Linked DNA regions of Arabidopsis thaliana. The protein of the gene in region 1 interacts with the protein of each later gene in a pairwise test. Each region holds a gene or a part of one and is shown on either strand. Other genes may lie near its edges. The genes, in order: AT5G23280, GRF4, AT1G68360 and CUC2.

Evidence for each region.
Region 2: the proteins of AT5G23280 (region 1) and GRF4 interact in a two-hybrid assay, tested with the Arabidopsis thaliana proteins (one large-scale study listed by BioGRID).
Region 3: the proteins of AT5G23280 (region 1) and AT1G68360 interact in a two-hybrid assay, tested with the Arabidopsis thaliana proteins (one large-scale study listed by BioGRID).
Region 4: the proteins of AT5G23280 (region 1) and CUC2 interact in a two-hybrid assay, tested with the Arabidopsis thaliana proteins (one large-scale study listed by BioGRID).

Annotation. Positions count from the first base shown.
Region 1 is NC_003076.8:7,840,590-7,846,188, forward strand, and holds AT5G23280 (TCP family transcription factor), read left to right. Parts: upstream 1-2,017; 5' UTR 2,018-2,427; coding exon 2,428-3,180; 3' UTR 3,181-4,060; downstream 4,061-5,599. Other genes in the region: STP11 (sugar transporter 11), read left to right, coding at 1-285; PFD5 (prefoldin 5), read left to right, coding at 5,555-5,599.
Region 2 is NC_003074.8:19,614,746-19,621,199, reverse strand, and holds GRF4 (growth-regulating factor 4), read left to right. Parts: upstream 1-2,692; 5' UTR 2,693-2,931; coding exon 2,932-3,163; intron 3,164-3,260; coding exon 3,261-3,455; intron 3,456-3,752; coding exon 3,753-4,050; intron 4,051-4,605; coding exon 4,606-5,023; 3' UTR 5,024-5,223; downstream 5,224-6,454. Other genes in the region: AT3G52905 (Polynucleotidyl transferase, ribonuclease H-like superfamily protein), read left to right, coding at 5,729-5,877, 6,002-6,059. UniProt on the Arabidopsis thaliana protein: Transcription activator that plays a role in the regulation of cell expansion in leaf and cotyledons tissues.
Region 3 is NC_003070.9:25,620,426-25,625,151, forward strand, and holds AT1G68360 (C2H2 and C2HC zinc fingers superfamily protein), read right to left. Parts: upstream 2,169-4,726; 5' UTR 1,988-2,168; coding exon 1,253-1,987; 3' UTR 1,108-1,252; downstream 1-1,107. UniProt on the Arabidopsis thaliana protein: Probable transcription factor required for the initiation of inflorescence trichomes in response to gibberellin and cytokinin. Acts upstream of GIS, GIS2, ZFP8, and the trichome initiation factors GL1 and GL3.
Region 4 is NC_003076.8:21,900,282-21,906,384, forward strand, and holds CUC2 (NAC (No Apical Meristem) domain transcriptional regulator superfamily protein), read right to left. Parts: upstream 3,574-6,103; 5' UTR 3,515-3,573; coding exon 3,325-3,514; intron 3,245-3,324; coding exon 2,961-3,244; intron 2,339-2,960; coding exon 1,685-2,338; 3' UTR 1,423-1,684; downstream 1-1,422.

The DNA.
Region 1 (5,599 bases):
GAAATTAGATCAGCAGGACAATCGTTAAACGTTTCGGTGAACATGTTCTTTACATTCTTCATTGGACAATTCTTCTTGACGATGCTTTGCCATATGAAGTTTGGTTTGTTCTATTTCTTCGCGGGTATGGTCTTGATCATGACCATTTTCATTTACTTCTTGTTGCCGGAGACAAAAGGTGTTCCGATTGAGGAGATGGGGAAAGTGTGGAAAGAGCATAGATATTGGGGGAAATATAGTAATAATGATGATGGTGATGATGTTGATGATGATGCTTATTTTTAGTTGATGATTATTTGGGATTTAAGGATATGTTAGGATTAAAAACTTATTATTGAGAAAATGCTTATACTGACCAATGTGAGAAAATAAAAATGAGGATATAATAAACAAGTGTACATAATTTGAGGATTTATGACCGTACTTAAAATTACTCGAAACTTCTTGAACTAAAAATAATATAAATTTTTTGTTTAGACTAAAATGATCATTTTTTACGATAAAGATACATGTCGAGTAATTATTAAGAGTATCCAAATTATCCGTTTGAATTGTTAAAATATTTAAAATTATTATAATTTTCCGGCTACTAAAAATTCTCTAACACTTCACAAGATTATTAAAAAAAACTCTCTCTCTCTATTTGTACTTAAAATAACCCAAATTTGACCCATTCTCATTTGGATAGCGATTTTTAAATTATTGAATTTATCTACCATATCATATCTTATCAGTTGTTTCCAAAACTTAGAAGTGAAATTAAATTGGTTATTTATTTTTGTTTGTAACATAACTAAATCAACCATCAAGTCAATCTCGAACAAACAATTGTTATCATCCATTATCCAATATTAATTACTTTTTTGTTTTGTTTTGTTACAAGTGAATACTATTCACATGATTTATAAATTAGTATTATTATTCACTCCACAACATTTTGTATCAGATTAGGTTTCAAGTTTATAGTTACACAAAAAATGGATTCCGAAATCTTTTAGATTAAAAAAAAAAAGGATCAAAAGTTCAAGGTACACAATCTTTTTATAAAACTGCCGACATGATGCCATATCGCTCATGATTGCATTTATTTTTTTGCATTAGCTCACAAGAATGTTAAAAATTAACGATAAGAAAATCCATTTAATTAGGGGGTACGAGTACGAAAATAATTAAAACAAATATTAGCGTTTGGTGGTGCATAACTCAGCATAAGTCATAAAATAAATTGTTGTCACGATATGTGAAGAAAATCTCGTTGCGATGAGACGAACGACATAAAGAAAATCTTGCGTATCTGACAAGTGGACTAATCCACTTATTTTCAATGTCAGTCTCAAAATGGGAGTTATTAAAATTAATGTTCGTTCTTTTTATTTTATACACACATTTATTTTATATATATATTTATATTATATACAGTAAAACCTCTATAAATTAATAACATTAAAACCATAATATTTTTAATTTATAGTACTATTAATTTAAATGTCTTTGGGTATTTTAGTTGGCAAAACTCAACTAATTACAGGTAACTTTCTTTTGTGATGTCGACAAAAGAATTCTGAATAATTTTTAAGGGTTTCGATTTTTGCCATTTCACGTAAAACACGTGATACTGGGCTACTGGCATTTACGGCAGAGTAACTGGTGGCAAATATTATTACCAATATACTATAAACAAATAAATAAAAAGAACAAACACTAGTATTAAATTTTGATTGTTTTATAACTCAATTAAGTTTTGATGTCAAAGTCTACTTACCAATCAATTACCTCACTGATTTGTCTCCTTTTCAATCTTTTCGATTGTTTTATGGAAACAGCTTTCTAAAAAAGATTAATTTTCACGTAATCACAAAACAAATGTTCACATTAGCCCAAATCTAATAACCACATTAGGTTGGTCCCAAAAATTTAAAAACAAAAAAAAACTTTTTTAGACAGAGAGACCAACTTCAATACATTTAGTTTCATGTATTTTAAATAAGATTAGTATCTTCGTGTTAATTTCCAAATTCAAGCTTATAGTAAGTTAGTAATAATGTATATAATGACGTGGCAAAGGATAAATGTCTCTTTAAATGCACGTAGCAGCCGGAGGAGTGACCCACCTACCTAGTGTTAAATTCTCCTGCCGGAGTTTGGTCCCCACGCGACCTTCTTCTTCACCGGAGTAATAACGCGCGTGAGCTCCACCGCGTCGGGACAAAACTAATGTCCTCTCAAAAAAGCAAAAAAAAAAAGAGAAAAAAAACCAGAGATGGTGAGCTGTGTGAAAAGGACCCCACCACACCCATGTGCTTCTCCTTCCTGTCTCCACCAGCTCCCTCCTTCTCAATCATTAGCTTCTTCTCTTCTCTTCTCTCACAGAGAGAGTAATCACAAGCCAAGTGAGAAAAAGAAAACACTAAACCCAGATCGAAAACCATGTCTATTAACAACAACAACAACAACAACAACAATAACAACGATGGTCTTATGATCTCATCAAACGGAGCTTTAATCGAACAACAACCATCAGTCGTTGTGAAGAAACCACCGGCGAAAGATCGACATAGCAAAGTCGATGGAAGAGGGAGAAGAATCCGTATGCCGATTATATGTGCTGCTCGTGTTTTTCAGCTAACGAGAGAGCTTGGTCATAAGTCAGATGGCCAAACAATTGAATGGTTACTTCGTCAAGCAGAGCCTTCTATTATAGCTGCAACAGGAACTGGTACAACTCCAGCGAGTTTCTCAACTGCTTCTGTCTCTATCCGTGGAGCCACCAATTCTACTTCTTTAGATCATAAACCCACTTCTTTACTTGGTGGTACGTCACCGTTTATACTTGGGAAACGTGTTAGAGCTGATGAGGATAGTAATAATAGTCATAATCATAGTTCTGTTGGTAAAGATGAGACCTTTACGACAACACCAGCTGGGTTTTGGGCTGTTCCGGCGAGGCCGGATTTTGGACAAGTTTGGAGTTTTGCTGGAGCTCCACAAGAGATGTTTTTACAACAACAACATCATCATCAGCAACCATTGTTTGTTCATCAGCAACAGCAACAACAAGCTGCAATGGGTGAAGCTTCTGCTGCTAGAGTTGGGAATTATCTTCCGGGTCATCTTAATTTGCTTGCTTCTTTATCCGGTGGATCTCCCGGGTCGGATCGAAGAGAGGAAGATCCACGTTAATGGTTTAAGCCCTTTTAGGTTTGAGGGCAAAATTTGGTATATATATTTATTATCTTCTCTTCTCTATTGTTGTCATTGTTTCTCTATGTGTGTGTTTTAGTGTTGTTAGAGATTGATTTGGTTTCAGAATCTCTGCAAGTGATTTGAGAGTTTTCGTTAGCTTTAAGTAAGTTAAAGACGGTTGTTTTTGATTAGGGTTAAATTAGGGTTTAAGAATCTGTTGTTTTTTTGGAGGGAGATCGATTTCTTATCGGATCCAAGATTACTTTTAGGAAAAAAGGGAAAATTTCAGAAACCACGGTGGTTTCTTTTCCTCTTTTTTTTTTTGTGTCTGTTTTTTTTTTCCGGTGAAACAGAGCCGTCGATTAAAATTTCAGATATATATTTAAATGTTTTAATATGGTTTGTTGTTGTTGTTGCTAATTGTGTAATGTGTTACAACAATTGTGGTGAAGCATTTGCGTAAGCTGTTAACCACGTTTATTTCTAATAAATGTTTCGAATTCATATTGTTCCTTCCTTCTCTGCATTTATTGATACACAAAAAGCTTTATGTGATAGTGATTGTTTCGTTGAAATCGAACCGGATGATGGATTTTTGAACAGAATCATAATAATCTCTTATTTTTTTAGTGGATATATGTATGAATTGTGGATTTTGAGATGCTATTTATTTTTGGCGTTTCGCGTCTTGATTTAATGCAAGAACTGAACAGAGGATTTAGTAAGAAAAAGAGACAAACCAGTTGTGTCTGAATTCTTCAATTTTGTTGCCTTTTTGTTTCATATGAATCTTTGTACTGTGCTTTTGGAAGTTTGGTTTGTCACGTTAGTCAGAGAAATATTAAATTTAAGTACTGTTAAAACTATATGGCGACATGATATCTTTAAATTAATTGTCTATATTTTTGTTCTAGAAACTGTTACAATTTGAAAGATTAAAGGTGTTAGAATTGTCTCTTCTCTTGTTTGAGATTAGCTATCTAAAAAAATGTGGGTGATACACTCGAACATGAGTTCAAATGGTTGTTTTAATTTTGGCAAAAACCATTTTCACTGTTGTAATAATTTGGACTATCAAAAAAGTAAATTTTATTTTAACCCCTGATATAGTATAATTTCTTATGCAAAGTATATTTAAGGTACAAATAGCATAGATTCAATGATTTCGTTTGTGGTTTTCACAGCTATATATCTGCTGAGTAATGTATTTAACCAATAATTTATTTATCACGATAATACCTGATGAATAAATGTCAAAGTGATTAGATAGGCTTCTTTAGACTATTTAGGTCACACTAACCAATCAAAAGAATCAAACAAATTTTCTCATTAAAATAAGAATCCATTAATGGAAAGATCTTAACAAAAAGTTGGTGTTTTTTCTTTCTTAATTAGGTCTTAGTAATTAACACTTAGCTATATAATGTAATGCAAATAATTATAGGTGGGGGATCTTTGTAATCAACTCGTATCAATAAAACATCCGTACCTTTTATTGTCGAATCATCTAAATGACCCCAACACCAATAATTGATATGGTCCCAATTATTTTCTACCGAAAAATAATTTCTATAGGCTGGCAAATAATTCATATACGAGTCTTTATTTTTCATATACATATTTCGCATTTTGGACCGACACATGTAAATAAATAAATAGCCTCTCATTCACCTCACTCTACTAGCTCTGTGCCGTGTTAAATTAAATGTACTGTCAAATACTTTATGGTTCAGAAAAAATTGATGACTAAACATTATCATAGAGTATCAAAATTTGATTTTCAAAACTGACTATAAAAACAATTTTATAGCAAAAATAAAATAAATTTTAGTTGTTTCTTTTAAACGTTAAAGCATGTTCATTTTTTCCTAGTTGCAGATTCTACAGTGATCAATTTGGGATCTATATTAATTCTATATAAGACCCAAAACATGTAAGAATATTAATTTTATGTGTTATTTGTTTAGTTACAAATGTAAAAATACGCAACTAATTAACTATTTCATTTGGTTACATTTTTTTATAAGTATGACAAAATATAAGCAAATTAAGTATTGTTTGAATTATAAGCAAATATTTTTTTGTTTCAAATTTTTTCAAAATATAGGTAAACTATTAAAAATTGTTTTTTGATTCAATTTTGTTTTAATTTTTATTTGAATCAAAGCATACACTATTTTCTTCTTTAATCATTTAAGGCCTCGAAAATGTTAGAAACAGCTTAAATGGGCCAATATGGGCCTTATGACTTCATCTCTAACGCTGAAGTCTGAACTCCGCTTAACGGGCCATCACACACTTCGTCTCTAACCTTTTGAAGAAAGAGTTTGAGCGCATCGCAAACTCGAAGGCGCGACTGTGAGAGAGAAGAATGGCGTCGTCATCATCGAGAGGAGAGATGGAGAAGATGGGAATC
Region 2 (6,454 bases), on another chromosome or scaffold:
CGACTCTCATGTTCTTCAAATTAATTTATTCTACGTTTGCCGTCACATTTATGTTATTTCTTGTATAGTATTGCATATGTTGTATTTTGTCAATCGATATGACTAATGGTTTCAATAACATATATTGTAGCATGTTTACAATAAAGAGTGGGTCAAAATGAAGGTTTTATTATCATCTTCTAATTAACTTGACTTTTTTTGGTTTAGACTTTAGATCATGTGTCTTCTCTGCTTATAATCGAATATCAACTGACTAGGAGAATCAAAATAATGTTGAAACTAAAATATTGGTCAAATTATACATCAAGTCTTACAACATTTTTGTTGGTGTTAAACATAGAGTTAAAGAAGGCCACAAGAATCATTCCAAATTGAATATAATAAGCACATTAAGAAATTAGAGGTCTGCTAAGAGGTTTGCTTATTTCGGTTTTTGTTGGTGTACTGCTAAACGTAGAGTTTAAGAAGCCCATAAGAATCATTCCTAAAGGAATATACGAAGCCCATTAAGAAAATAATTAAGGCACGTGAGGCCTCGCGTGCTAGCGTGACTAGGCTTTTTATTTACGGCCCATCGTAAGTGAACGTAAATGGCATAGTGCGTAAACAGACGGTAACTTTTGGTCAAAAAGTGAAAAGAATATATTTGGTATCTCACATTACATAGTGAGACCCACAGTCTGTGCCCTCGTCGGAAACTAAAGAGAGAGCCTCCTCAGATTATGATTTCGTTGTCCGGCTCCATCTTTACTCCAGCTCGGCTCGGTTCGGATCAGCTCCCGTGATTTTCAAATCTATGTGAGTAGGTGGAGAGTTTGGGCCGGGCCCTCTTCTGATCTCATCTGGTCTTAATCTTAGCACGTGACCCAACCCTTGTCCACTGAATAATACTATATATTTTCTGTCATTTTATTTGGTTTTACGAAACAATTGGAACATGAGCAACATATAAAAATGTATGTAGTATGGTAATTTAAACTAATGCATTTACCATGTATAACCTAATAACCATGTAGGTTAAAGTTTAAACAAGATATATATAAAGTTAGTCTAGATAATCAACATTTGTTTGGTTGTTTTGTTACCATTAGTATTACTGCATCTGCATGTAATCTTTGTTCGTGTTCATGATTGAAAAAAGACATACAATATGTCATTACGTTCACACTTTGCTTTCAGTTTGTTTTCCTTCGATATCATTATCTTTGGTATATGACAAGTTCTGGCCCAAAATATTAGTGCACAGGATCCATTATTACTTTATTAGTTAAGACCCATCATTAGTGCACAAGATCCATTATACTATCAAGTATCAACAAAAAATATTTCTATTTTAGAGGCTAATATTTTGTTTAGGCCATTTGCGAAATATTTTTTCTATTCTAAAAAAAAAAACGTAAAATGTTTATTAAATTCAGTTGCCGCTTTATACTTGTTACAAAGATTTTTGTTTTTCAAAAAGGAAAATTTTACAAAGTCAAAAAGAACCTATGGTATATTTTGAAAACAAAGTTTATTTTGGGTGTTATGTTATGATATTCCTCTTCTTTTTTATTTGGTTCACAAGATTTACAGCAAATGAAGTGTACATAACATTGAACTGTACTTAAGGAATTGAGTTTTTCTTATATTTTTCTTAGTGCAAATATAAATGCCGCCGAAACTGGTGGGAATGAATGAAAAGAAAACTCAAGAAACTCTCTCAATAGTCATCATAGTCTTTGGTTGTGGCTCACTCCTACATGAAATATCGTTATCGTCCTTCTCATATTTATTACTTTATTTCCTCAAAACTACAAAATAATGCTATCGTTTTTTGTTTTGGCACCACCAAATAAAGATACTTTGAAAATCATAAATGTCTTTTGTATTATTCAGCCAAGTGAAGATATCAAATAAATGTTTCTAACTTCATTTTAACAAATGTTTCCAAGTTTACTTGGCCTTTTCTGGTAATAATATGATTCCCTCCTTTCGATGTGTTTAGATATGTACATATACTACTAGCTAGCCATGTCTTTTTAAGATAACACAAAGATAAATGTCCATTTCTACATTTATATAAGGAAGTTATAATTTTTTTTTAATAAATCAAACAAACACAGACGTTACATAATATTTTATGAGTAACAATAATATTGTAACAGATGAGAAAAGTAATGACGGTTACAAATTAAAAGACAAATATGGTTAAACCACTAAAATGGTAAAGTATTTGGAAAACTTACTAACCAAAGAGAGTAAATAGAGCTGAGATTGTATTGTAGCTCTCTGCAAATGGAGACTATTTAGTCAAAACCCAAATGATTAATCATGCTTAGAAGTTAGAATCTCATACATTTGTAACACAATCTCTGAGACAAATGACATCTGTAAGACAAAAATTGAAGGTTACTCTACATCACATTAAATGAATCCTTAATAAAAAAACATAATAACAATATCATAATAGGCATCTCTTTAACCTACTTAAGGAATATTAAAATGAGGTAAAAAAAGGAAGTGATATTTCCAAGGCAGTGAGACATAAACACTGCAGGTTACTATCTCTCCATCTGCATCTTGCAGTGCTTTCTCTCTTTGTTTTCTGACTTACATAATTTTTATATCACATAAAGTAACAATTTATTAAACCTATCAATCAAATATTATATACTAATTTTGTTTATCCTATCAACTGTCTTGTCTCATAGTCTAAACACTTTTCTCTAGCTCTCTCTAACAAAAGAGTGAAGAAGAAAAAGTTTTTTATTTTGGGTATTTACATGACAAGCCAAACAAATAAGACTTTTGTTGTGGTTGTCTTTGCTTATTAAGCCAGACTCTCTAAAAACAAAAGAAGTGAGGGTAAAAAAACTATCCCAAAAGCAACCAACACATTTCTCTGTCTGTCTCTCTTTCTCTCTCTCTCACTCACTCTCTCTTTGTTCCATGGACTTGCAACTGAAACAATGGAGAAGTCAGCAGCAGAATGAGTCAGAAGAACAAGGCTCTGCTGCAACTAAGATATCAAACTTTTTCTTTGATCAGATTCAGTCCCAAACTGCTACTTCTGCTGCTGCGGCTCCTCTTCCTCTCTTTGTCCCTGAACCCACTTCTTCCTCTTCTTTCTCTTGCTTCTCTCCTGACTCTTCTAATTCTTCTTCTTCTTCCAGGTTCCTCAGTAAGTTGTTTTAAAAGGACAAGACTTATTCACTCTAATGTTGAAGTTGTTTTTGCTGATATTTAATCTGACGTTTCTATGTTACATATATATGTAGAGATGGGAAACTTCTTCAGCTGGGCACAGTGGCAAGAACTTGAGCTACAAGCACTGATCTATAGATACATGTTGGCTGGTGCTTCTGTTCCTCAAGAGCTTCTCTTACCTATTAAGAAAAGTCTCCTCCATCAATCTCCTATGCATTTCCTTCACCATCCTCTTCAACATAGTTTTCCTCATCACCAACCTTCTTGTCAGTCTCTCTCTCCTCTCTATTGTTTATGCTTCTCTTATCCTTGAAATAGTCTTTCTTTGTAAAAAAGATTCCCTTTGTTTTGGTGTTGGAGTTATATTTCCAAGATCTAAAATAAGTATAAGGCTGCTCTGCAACCTTGCAAGGAGTTAAAACCCTATGTGTATGATAAGCCTATTTCTAGAAGATCTATTAGCAACATAGATAGAATCAGACAAGTACATTTCGTAACCAATGTCTTGAGTGAGATTTATGTTTGTTGTTACTAATGAACAACACACACTTAATAAAAAACAGGGTATTGGGGAAGAGGAGCAATGGATCCTGAGCCAGGGAGGTGTAAGAGAACTGACGGCAAGAAATGGAGATGTTCAAGGGATGTTGTAGCGGGCCACAAGTATTGTGACCGCCACATTCACCGTGGAAGAAACCGTTCAAGAAAGCCTGTGGAAACCGCCACAACCACCATCACAACGACAGCCACAACAACCGCATCTTCTTTTGTCTTAGGTGAGGAGCTTGGTCATGGACCAAACAACAACCACTTCTTCTCCTCTGGTTCATCTCAACCTCTCCACCTTAGTCATCAACAAAGGTACAATAAAAAAACACAAACACTCTGTTTAATTAAAGTCATTAGTAGATTTGGTTAATTACAAATATTGTTGTTAGGGAAATAGTGATTTCACTGTGAAGTAATGCTGTGAAGAAAGGGGTAATGTTGGCAATAGGGTGACAAGAGAGACTTATCATACATACTTTGTGATAAAAACATTATTCTTTCTTTTGTTGAGAGATAATGATAACAGTTGGATTTGATAGAATCTAATTTTATTTACTAGTTGGGTGAGACTTTTCAATCATAGAAATAGAAAAGAGAGAGAAAGTTAAAGAGATATGTATACTTATGTTGTATTTGAAATAATGACATGGTAGGACCTCAGTGAAAGCTGACCAAACCTGCATAGAAGCCAAACAAAATAAAGCTCTCAGATTCTGCAACCACTTCCTCTTATTAACACACACATTTGACTGATTAAATTATTTCTCTAACCATTTTGTTGAATTGATCAGTCTACTTATTATTGTTCAAATGTTGGATCTTTTTGTTGACAATGTTTATGTTTATGTTTATTCCTCTCTGTCACAGTTGTTCTTCAGAGATGAAACAAGAAAGCAACAACAACAAGAGGCCATATGAAGCTAACAGTGGATTCAGCAATGGAAGATCAGACGATGGTCACATCTTGAGGCATTTCTTTGACGATTGGCCACGATCATCAGACTCTACCTCCAGTCCAATGAGCTCATCCACTTGTCATCTTTCAATCTCCATGCCCGGTAACAACACGTCCTCAGATGTTTCTCTAAAACTTTCCACAGGCAATGAAGAAGAAGAAGAGAACATGAGAAATAACAACAATGAGAGGGAGCAAATGAATTGGTGGAGCAATGGAGGGAATCACCACAACAATATGGGAGGACCATTAGCTGAGGCTTTGAGGTCAGCTTCTTCGACGTCAAGTGTTCTTCATCAGATGGGAATCTCTACTCAAGTTTTTCATTAAAGAAAAGTGTTTGTAATCTTTTTGGTTTGTGCTCTTTGAATCTTTATTTTCTGCAGAAAATAATCTTTGAATTTGTCTTCTTTTGGAATTGTGAGTTCTGCTTTTGGAATTGTTTTGTTCCTTACTCTGCTATTATATTTATGTTTAAAGCTTGACAATTTTGTATAAGCAATGAAACTAATATGATCCTCTGCCTGCAAGTAAGTACAGGAGAGGTGGTTACTTGAGCTTTTCACTTAAGCTAAACCGAATCAATTTTGGGAAACCAGTTAAACCACCTCGAATTAACCGGTTCCCGGTATAATGTAAAACCAAAACCCTGATAATCACCGGCATCGTATAGATTGATTAGACGGTGAAGTCTCGAACTTAACCGGAATAAACCTTTTCCGGTCCATCTCTAATTCACAATCTTGGGGTTTGTGCTTGCTTGCTTCAATCGCGAAGACATTTAGCAGAACCATTTGTCGTTTCCTCTCGCCAGATTCCGTGCTCCGGAGCCAGAAAGTTTCCGCCTTTAAAGTACGTCAAGATTTAAACTTTCTGATTAATTTCTAAAACCCTTTTTCGAAATGTTTGTTTGATGGTCTGATTAAAGTTTTTTTTGTACAATAATTCTCAAATTTATGCAATTGATATGTGAATTTTTAGTCTTGATTTGAACAAGTGTTTTGGAAGTTTGATTCACTTACTTTTGATCAGGAAATGAAGTATGTGAAGCCATTGAGCTTATTGGGTAATGCGCTGAAGACCAAAGTGTCAGTCCCTGGTCGGTTTCTGGGTTTAGATGTTGGTGATAAGTATGTTGGATTAGCTATCTCAGATCCTTCAAATATGGTTGCTTCTCCATTGAGGTACCTTTGATTCAGTGTCTACATGCTACAACATTTGTTTAACAGTAATTTTCAAAAATGCAAATCCTCTCTGATCAATTTTGTCACCATCATCGCTATTGAAAACCTGTTACTTCTCTTGCAGTGTTTTGCTCAGAAAGAAATCAAACATTGACCTGATGGCTACAGATTTCCAGAACCTGGTAGGTGCTATAAGTTTGATCGTTCCTTTACTTTTTAGCTCTAGATTTAAAGGAGACCTTAAACAAATACACAGATTTTAGTTCTTGTTAAGAAATGGAGAAACTATCATTTCTTAGTGTTTTTTAAAACAAAGAAAAAAGGTTGCTAGTGTAGATTAGTGTTTACTAAGATAAGGAATGAAGAAACTATCGTTTGTTTTGGTAATGAAGAAGAAAGTTTGTTAGTGTAGTAGATTAGTGTCTACTTTCACCCTCGGCTTTTTGTGATTACTGCCTTACTGGTGATTAAAGGATCAAGGTTTATTCAGTTAGTGTTTACTGTTAAGTCCTTGACGTAGTAGAGATCTATCAACAAGTAGACTTATGAACTCTGTTTGATTACATCAATCATTTGC
Region 3 (4,726 bases), on another chromosome or scaffold:
AATGTTAGCATAGTGTAAGATACCTCCATTATATAAGTACCTGTATGCCTTAATTATGAGATATATAGGAGCCTAGTGATATTTAAAGTCGAAGAAAACGTATCACGTTGTCACAATCATTTAAAAAATTGTATTTTCGACCCGGGTTTGTATATGCATGTAGATTGCACATACCAAAACTCTATCTCTATGTATGTTGACATCTCTCTTTATAGCCGTTGCTAGTGGTTACATGTATGCTCCTAAAGGGAATAATTAACTGAAGATTTGAGAGTATTTGACTTTGAAAACCTGGAGTTGAATCATATTGACCAAAAGATTATAGTGGTCCTACAATCCCTAAATATGAGAAAATTTTAATTATAACCAAATTGTGTTAGAGAAGTAATTTTAATTCTAACCAAATTGGGTAATCTACTAAATTTAATTCTAACAAAACTGTGTAATCGACTAACAAGACCATAGACCAAAACTCACTAAAGCTGTACATAATTACTACGATGCTAATTGTAGATTAACTTTTTCCATTGTTGTAAAACAGAGGCCTACCAACAATTTTCGAATCTAAAGTAATAATTTTCTATACTTTGGTTCTAAAAACCAATATGTCAAAACTGTGAGAATTCCAAAAGTAATTTGTGCATAGACTTCAGAACAGCTTTTGTCCAAAAAAAAAAGGACTTCAGAACAGATTTGAAGGCGTATCAATTTCAAACGCAATCCGAAAAAGGTTGCAGCGTGTCCCTTTTGACTAATTTTAAGCACAATTTTGAAGCAAATTTGTGAGTAAAGGTGTAGAGTTTTCATACTCATCTTTGCATTCTATTGGCCTGACAATAAAAAGGCTTTGAAAAACGATTGATCTAATGGATCTGAATATTGGAATTATTATTTTGTATGTGTTTAAACATACATTCTATAAAATCACTTTCAGTGCACCTGACAACTTATCTCCTAACGTTTATTTTTATATTTTTAGTCTTTGGTCCTATTGTTTATATTTTTTTCTTGGAGTCTCAACAAATATTACCTTCTGGAATGTTTTTTCATGAATTGGTTAAGCATTTTGAGACTCTACTTTTTGTGGTAGTAAAGCATAATTGGAGTCTAAACTAGTAAAATATTTATTAGGCAAACAATCACTGGAATTTAAAGTCATTAATTAAAAATACTGATAGAGAAAAAAAAAATCACTAAAAATAAATAAATTAATTAAAATGTTGATAAATATACAAGAGCTTTAAAAAACACGTCAATGACCAGCAGGTGCAAGACTGAGATGCAAATCCAACCCTAAACCATCATCAAAAGTAGTTCCTACTTCTCTTGAAAACCCATTAACCGATGGTCTCGGCCCATGGGCCTGAACATGTCTCATCTGAGCCCCAACTACTCCAAACCCTGAATCACGAGCCCCATACTCGTACGAGAACCCACCAGCACCCGCACCACCCGAACCATCTTGGATGACGCAGCCATGAGACACGTGAAGTTGAGATGGAGAAACACGTGGAAGATACATCCAAGGACCTCCCATAGGCTGAGGCACGGCGGATGATGATAAAAGATGAGGCGGAGGAGCAAAAGCAGAGACTATAGGATTCCTTAAAAACTGAGACGCTGATCCAGCGTTTGAGAAATTTGCGGCTGCGTTTCGTGTAGCTTGAAGCTGAGCACGTTTAAGCTGTTGACGCTCTTTCTTGTGAGCGTTTTGGTGACCACCTAAGGCTTGTGAGTTACCAAACTCTCTACAACAATACTGACACTCATACTTACGTTCTCCTCCTCCTCCTCCTCCGCCTCGGCTTCGTACACCACCGCCACTTCTTCCGGAAGATCCTGCCGGAAACTCGCCACGTTCCGGTGATACAGAAGATAGGTTAGTTTTGACTGATTGATCGGAGAAATCTTCTTCTCCATCAACACTAAATCCAAATAGCTTTAGACGAGAAGTTGTTGTTTTTGAACTAAAATCCAGCTCCTCCATTAAATATGTATGTCTTTAGAGAGAGAGAGAGAATTAGAAAGAAAGAAAGAGATATGTTGAATAAGGCTTATAATAAGAGGAGGTTGATGAGTGAGGGCATATATTTATATAAACTGAGATGTGACTTTGTACAGTAACATGGGAGACACTGTGCAAGTGTGTGTTGTGTGAAAGATATGAGAGATTGTTGTGTGATTAACTTTGGTTTTTGTTTTCTACGTATTTGTTTTATTTTTCGGACATCCCAAGAAGAAAGAAAAAGAACAGTGAAAGTGGGAGTTTGAGGAACACACGAACCGAGACGACATGGATAATGGGACCCTATTGGATTTCATTTGTCTCCTTTTTTTTCATGTGAAAGGAAGTTTCAGTTTGGCTCTACTTTTATGTGTTTATTCTTACTAGTTCTCTTCGGGAAAATTCATATGTTTCCACCTACTTTTTAATGTGATTCTGAAGCAAAAAATAATAATTACGACATACTTGTTTTAAAAAAATTACAAATCTTTTTTTAAAAATAAATTTCTAAATGATTAATAAAAAAAAGTAAAAAACCATTGATTTGATGCGTTCTATGCGTTTCATGTAAATTATGTTATTTACGAACTTGATTTTGCTATTTATTTTGAAATTAAAAATAAGTGAAAGAAGTTTTTAAATGTAACTATGAGAGATTTAATTTACCACAAAAAATTTGTATAGACTAATTTGTTTTGGTATATTTTTTTATTGTTTTGCAAACTTTTTGAACATATTTTTCTACGATGCAAATATATTCTCAGCAACATACTAAGTTCGGAGATTTGTTAATGGCAAATGTTTTAGTAGATTTAATTTCATGGAGGTACACCTAATGTTTAAGACACTAGCGCTCCTTAATCTAATTTAAGATTCACAAATTCTTAAAAAAACTCTTTATATCCCACAAAAAAAAACTTGATTTTTCTACGATGCAATCGCCTAAATCTCAAAACAACTCATCCATAATAAACATATTGAATTATATATCAAACTAGTCCTAGATATAAAGTACTCATTTTCCTCCTAGAACTCTGACTTCTTTCCAATTTTGTTTATCAATTCCAACTAAAACGTCGGAAACATAAGTTTATGTTCTTGTTCACATAAGCTAATATGACCATGATAGTGTGTTAGTTTGTTGCGCTCTCATAATGAAACGAAAGGAACAAACATTCACAAGATATTGTAACGGGTCTTTCTTGATTCTTTAACATCTGACGTTTTCTCAGAATAAAACAAATATATATAATCTGAATTTCTTTTATAAATAAATTTGATCCGGACAGTTGGTAATCTAATCTAGAGCAGTCAATAATTTTTAGGATATTTTGTTTGTTAGCTAAGAATGTATTGTCGTCTGTAGACTAAGTCATTTTATATTAACCTACAAATACAATGAGAGAGTTTCTAAAGCTACTCAAGAAAGTCCCGTGATACCTAGACCTAAGTTGGAATAACATCCAATTTGTATAATTATTGTAACTTCCAAATTTCAATACCATATGTAAGTCGAGAGACCATAAACATTTTAACTTATACATTATTCCTCCTTTTGTCTTGATATTCCATCTCTCTAGTTACCTATTGTCTTGATATTCCATCTCTTTAGTTACCTATTGTTCCTCTTTTTTTAATTCTTGATTCCATATCTCGACTTGGTTTGTAACCCAGATGATGATTTGAAAGTGACTTACTTACAGAATTTGTAATCCAAAGTTTATAGTTGATGTTTTAGAGGGGAGAGTCCCCACGAAATGTACCGATTGTTATACCGAAAACTCGTTAAATCTTAAGTATTTTTAATGTTTTACTCTCATGCAATTGACCATAAAATTTAAGTATTTATCAAGTTAATCACTTACAAAGTCGTTTAATCAACAATTTTTTTTTATTTATTTTTTGTAGTTGGCTAAATTAAATTAATATATATATGTAGAAAACTAATTAAAAACTTTTTCTAAAACCATCCAAAAATTTAGAACAACAGTTATGTTTTTTAAATTAGTATTTTCATATTTTACTTAAAATTTCACCCAAAATATGTATTAGTACAAAGTAAAAAGATGCCGACAGACGGAAAGTGATTAGTAAAGTCAAGATAGAGTAGATGCAAACAAATGTTATCACAAACATAAAATTGCTTCGTTAATTGAAAGAGAAAGAAAAAAAGACAAATCATAATGTGGGATGTGATCTGAAGTGACCCAGAAGCCAAAAAGTTTGAAATGTGTGACAAAGAAACATGAGAATCTAATTGAAGATGTGAAAATAAAAAAGGAACAAAAGTCCCACATCTCACTTCTGTGTGTCCCACGTGTCTCCGTCGCATTATCGTGCGTATCTATTTTCAGATACGATCTCAAAATTTTAATGAAAGTCAAATAACTTAAATTTATGAACTATAATTGCAATTTACTTTCTTACATCTAGTAAGGATGTCTTTAATTATGACTATATTAGAAATATATGTTTGCATGTACCACACTTTGGGGCCTAAGGTAAAAATTGTCAACGCAATTCTTTTATACTTATCATAATTTAGTTTGCTTTCAAAGTGAGTTGTGAGTTTAGTTATAGTGTATTTACATATTAAAAAAAAAATTGCAACATATATATATATATATATATGTATATATTAATATTATAATAAGTAATTTTTTAACAGAAGATTAACCCCTAAAATCTATAGATTACCGAGTTTTAATTATTATCGATCAT
Region 4 (6,103 bases), about 14 Mb from region 1:
TTTTCCTCTTCACAAACTTTCCAGCTGTTTTAATCACATGATAATTGTTGGGCGTAATCGGTGTGGGCGTAATGACGTACAAAATCAGACATTTGTTTTTGGGGCAAAAAATCAGACATCTTTTAGAAAAGCAAGTAAAATTTAAATGTTGTAGTTATTGAAGCTGATAATAATAATAAAATATAGTAACTTTTGGTTTAAGATTTTTATTTTTTAAGTCAGGCCAGCTGAATTTTCTGCTTTTTTATATATACATAGTGTGATAAAATTAGTCAGTTCTTATCATCACTTAGCTGTTCTTTTGTGTAAATAGCTGGGTTTTTTCTTATATATATATATATATATATGTTGGTCAATGTTTTTTGAACCAATACCATTTGCCTTAGTTTGTTTTGTGATTGCAAATGTAACCAATGAAACCCAAAATAATAAGCATACAAATGTGTACATATATTCCTTTAGCTAAAACATCATGAAATTTTGCCATTTAGCAAGACGTATATGTGAGTCTGTGAATTTGTCTTATGACTAGGTAGTATAGGTTGGTGATGCAACAAGAGCAATAATTGATGATGGTAATGATGATGATGATGATGATGGTTGTGTTACACACATACATATATCATACTCCTACTAGTATACACACGTGAAATGAAAACACATATATAATGGTAATAAACAGAGGTATTATTAATTATGTCTCTTTCTAAAAATAGAAATGTGAAAGCCATCCTTCTGAAAGTGAGGTGGACTGTTGTACAAGATCTGAATTTGGGAGTGGTCCGTTCGTCAGCATGCGCATCATATTCATCATCCCCGTTTCAAAATCCTTAATTTCAAAACTACTTCTTTTCTTTGGTGGGTTTACAATGCATTAAGTTAATCAAAATTAGTATGTAAATTATTTTCAGTAACTACCATGTACATGCATGTTATCTTAATCAATTAAGCCAAACGCAAATTGTTGTGTTTAGTCTCATATGTGTACGATTGTAGCAAGAAGATACACCTAACTGAAAATGGTGTTCATAGACTGATTAATCCACTGAATTATGAGTACTTACTTTAAAAGCATGAAACTTTCTTGAAATATTTTGGCAGTTACACATGTCAACCTTAATTAGCTAGAATTAATAAACAAAAACTACATGCATGTTTTACATTTGAGCATCTTCAATTGATGAAGAAATTAAATAATTAGCCATGTTATGTAATTACGGAAATCATCTAACCGAAGATTCGGAACGGTTGAATTCCGGAAACATATATATAACCGCCATATCAAATTGTATTAACAAGAAGAAAACTAAGGTATCTAGAAGCGACCGAAGAAATTCATTTTGTCGGTAATATACTGTATGATTGTATTGATAACCAAGGACACATGTCAAATATCATGAGAAATATAAAACATGAAAAAGCCATGAAATTAACATAATGTCAAACATTACAAAAACGAGCATAGCTTATACATATGCACGTTCATAGTCTAGAAAACATTTTCCTTGCATATTACCTCCTAATTAACACAACCGGATAAACTTAAAACTAGAGAATTAAGCGGAACATCAAGCTAAGTGCAATATTAAGCTCCTCGGTACACACATTTCATAATACCATAATCATCCTAGAAATACATAAATAAAACCCTAACGGGAACAATTATAAGTCACCTCTTTTGTGATCAGTAGTTCCAAATACAGTCAAGTCCAGCATGAAGCACACCGACCTTTGACTCATTCTCTTCGGCAGTCGCCGGTAGCCAGTAATTCATCCCGGAGACGCCTCCGCCGCCTTGGAAAGAAGGCAGATTAACGGCGGAGGTCATAGTCGATGCAGAAGACGATCCAAAGTAAGGAAATTGATTGAAGTTTTCTTGGAACGATCTGAAGTTAGATTGAGTCGAGACGTTTCTAGAAACGAAACGAGGAAAAGGGTCAAAGTCAAACCCTAGCGGCGGTGGAAGACGGCTGAATGAGTTAACGTCTAAGCCCAAGGCCGTAGTAGTAGTAGGGACAGTGGAGAAACAGGACACGTGCTCGGTTATTGCGCTGGCTGTGACGGTTGTGTTGGTGCTACGGCTGTCGTAGGAGCAACTGCTGTCGGTGTAGCCGAGGGTAGTGGTCGGATCCAGGAGAGGTGGGAGTGAGACGGAGGAAGGAGAGCTTGGTTGTTCTTGATAGTTTCTTGAGATTGTTGAGGGTACTTTCGTCTTTTTAGATGGACCAGTACCGCTGCTTACGCTCACAGTTGCTCCTCCTCCTCCTCCTCCTTCGGAGACGGCTCCGGTGCTAGCTAAAGTGGTTTTCTGGAAAACCCTAGAGATCACCCATTCATCCTGAAGGAATAAATTAGAGTTTTGAAAAGTCAAATATTTTATATAATATATGTTTGATGAGAAAGTCAATGTTAGATCTTGGAAATAAAAGAGAGTGAAGATTAAGAAAAACCATAGAGTAAAAGCGTGCACAGAGGGAATGTACATTGGACACTACAAGTCTACAATGGATATGGAACACTAATTAAGTAAAATTAATTTAATTAAATTTCTTTTTAATATATCTAGGTCAGAAAAAAATCCTGAAGATTTGCATTGGTTCTGGTTTTTTGCATTAAGCTTTCCAAAAGTAGGATGTATTAATATTTTATTTTATCAGAGCTATTGAATGTTTTCTTACTTTAGGAAAACACCATTATGATTGAAATCCCAATACATAAAAACAGCAGATCTTTTCTATTTCATGTTCCATAATGCTCTCAGATAACCACAGTAAAGAACCATGCCTTTTCAGCCATCAAAATTAAATGCAATAAAGCAAAAGAGAAAAAAATCAACGTCACCGACTATGTCACACTCTCGAATTTTTTTTCCAAATAATAGATTGTAAATTTATTAATCAAAGAAAATTAAGGCTTTACTTTATCAACAAAATAACTAATGAAAGGTTAAATCGAAGTACCTTGGAGCTTCTTGAGATGAAATGGTAAGAGAATTTGCCTTCAAGACGATATTCATGCATAACCCAATTACTCTTCTCTCCTTTCGGAGCTCTTCCTTTGTAAAAGACAAGAGTCTTCTTCATCCCAACAAGTGCACAAGTCTTTGAACTAAAGATCTCTCTGTCTTTTCCGGTAGCTTTCCAGTAACCAGCCTCAGTTGCTCTGTTAGTTCTCAGTCCCGTCGGATACTTCCGGTCACGGAGGCTAAAGAAGTACCATTCTTTCTCTCCCATCTTAGCTCTCCCTAAGTAACATTGAGAGTAAAGATTTCAGAAACCTTAATTACAAAAGAACTACAAGTAAGTTAGTTTTGTATTTTCTTACCGGGAAGTTGCCAAGGCTCACACTTGTTGAGATCAACTTCTGCGATGGCACGGCTTGAGAAGCAACCGTCGAGGACTTTGCGGAGAAGGTAATGAGTGATGAGCTCTTCGTCCGTGGGATGAAACCTGAAACCCGGTGGAAGATATTGGCTGTCTCCGCCATGGTCGTAGTGGTAATACGGAATGTCCATTAAGAAGAAAGATCTAAAGCTTTTGTTTGAGAGAGAAAAAACCCTAAGGAGACTCAAATGTTTTGAAGAAGAAGATAAATAGGTTAATATAATGGATGGTTCTTGAGTAAGGGGCGTGGTAATAATGTGGATGGATATTATTTTTTGGTTTTATTAGTTTATTTTTTTTATACATTGGGATTTGGTAAATCTAAAACGGCGAAATAGAGGGAAGCTTTTTTTTTGGGGTAGTGAAAGTAAAATAATTATTAAAAGATTAAAAACCAGAAAGTCGTAGAGAAGATAATTATAAATTTAGTAATAATAAAAAGACAGGTACGTCTACTCTTTCATAGGAATCTGTGGTTTTCTCTGCCTTGTCTTGTAGTAAAGAGAGCAAAGCCAAAGCAGATTATTACATCACATTTTTGAGTTTATCGATATATTTTTTACATAACTCGAGATTGTTTTAAAATTACAAAATTAAAATTAATCATGAAGTGTCCGTATTTCTTTGAATTAAATTATTAAAGAAACGAGGAATGGGCTCTTGTTTCTATCTGAGTATGCGTGCGTGCATGAGAAAAAGTGCAGTGGTATTCTCTGTCAGTGATGAAAATAAAAGAGAGGATTCAGATTGTATCTTTTTTTTTATCTACGAACTTGAAATTTCTTTTTATTATTGTGTTTGGAAATTGGGATACATAATAATTTATTATACGTACAATGACTAATCGAAACAATAGTAGTATAGTGAGGGATACATTATTAGACATATACACTAGTTATTTGGAAAGTGAAGAGTTTCAATTTTTATTTTTAATAGAAAAATGGATATTATATCGATAAGGCTGTTTCAAATCTTGGAGTGTCAGCACAGTACATGATTAATTTATCAAAAACTTTGACAGAGACTTCGTTACTACACGCCACCACCTTCTACACCTTTCACCTCTCTTTTTTTTTTCCTTGATTTTCTTTTCGTTTTTGTTTCATCTTTTCCATTTTCCAATTTTTTACTCCTGTGATGGATTTTTAGTTACTTTTCATTGCTTCATATTCATTTGTAAGACTCAGCAAAAGAAAATTAAATTTCATTATTTTCAAGCAACGAGATTTATGATGTAAGATTGAAAAATAATTTAATCAAGAAGTTACAGGTTGCAAATCAGAGAAGATATTTATGCTGCCTGGTTTTGTAGTTTTCTTAATTACTATCTCAAGTCTGTTTTTTCTCCTTTTTTATATAAATTAATTATGGCTCATCAAATAACTAATTATCAATTATGTTGATTGTTACAGGTCCACCAAAATGACATGACTAAACGTAAATTTCACAATTGTTAATTTATTTCTGTTACTTCCAATATTTTGATTATTATCTCATACAAATTATTTATTTTAGTGGAACTTCAATTTTAGCCCTATTTGACATGACTTGTTTTTTAAAATTTCCCACCCAAAAATGTACTAAAGAATAAACTAAAGAATAAAAGACACACCCAAAAATGTAAAGACCTTAAGATCAAACTAAAAAGATAGTGAGTTGATCAATTTCTACTAATAAATTAACTACAGACTTATTGACTATTTTAACCGTATGAAAAAATTGTATAAACTTAAATCAAAATAACTCTCCCCTTCGAGTATTCATATCTACGGACTTATCATGTGTGTAACTATTAGTTAAAAAAAAGAAGATGTTATAAAGTATGCAAAGTAATAATTATACATTAAAAATCATTATCAGAGACATGCTAAGACTATTACACCTGCTACTACTGTTTAATAGTAGTATTTATTACTATCTAGAAATTGTAGGTCTATCTATACGTCTTTTTAGACATATCTGCATATGACAGTAACTAAATCTAATTAATAAGATCCTTTCCTGTCTTAATTACAGATAGTTGAAGTAAAAGATTATCACCAAGCTATGAACCGAAGCAATAACATTATATAATTGTAATTACTTGAATTTATGAAGTTTTGAATACATTCTAGTGTGCCAAAGTGTTAATTGTCTTAAACTGAAAACAATGGCCAAACAGATTACAATGTTGATATTGACCTTGCCAAATTTTAGAAATTTGCTTTACTTTATCTTAATTTAAACATATATTTTTCACGGTTAATTTGTTTGTTTGCTTAGCATTTTTTTCATAACGAGAAAAATATTCTTATGACTTTAAATATCTAATATCCGTACTTTTTCAAGGTTAAAATGCACACTCCCTACTTTCTATCACCTTCATTCCATTTATGCTATATTTTTGACACTTTAAATACCACATTTATCCCCTTTTGATTAATTAACACAATAGTAGAGTGTTTGATATTCTATATACATATCATCCTCTTTATTTTATTTTTCAATTTCTTTTCCAAATTGTTTATATTTTTCTATTGATCTGAAATTTATGGCTGCTTTCGAACACCAAAATGGATTTGTTTTTCTCTACAGAAAAACATATGTCCTACCATAAAATTCGTTGTTGTTTTATCAATCATTTATTACAAAACTTTTATTTATTTTCTAAAATGTTTGGTAATACCGCATATCATCTTTTTTTAATAACTGCAAAAAGCAAATGAACAAATGCCAATAAT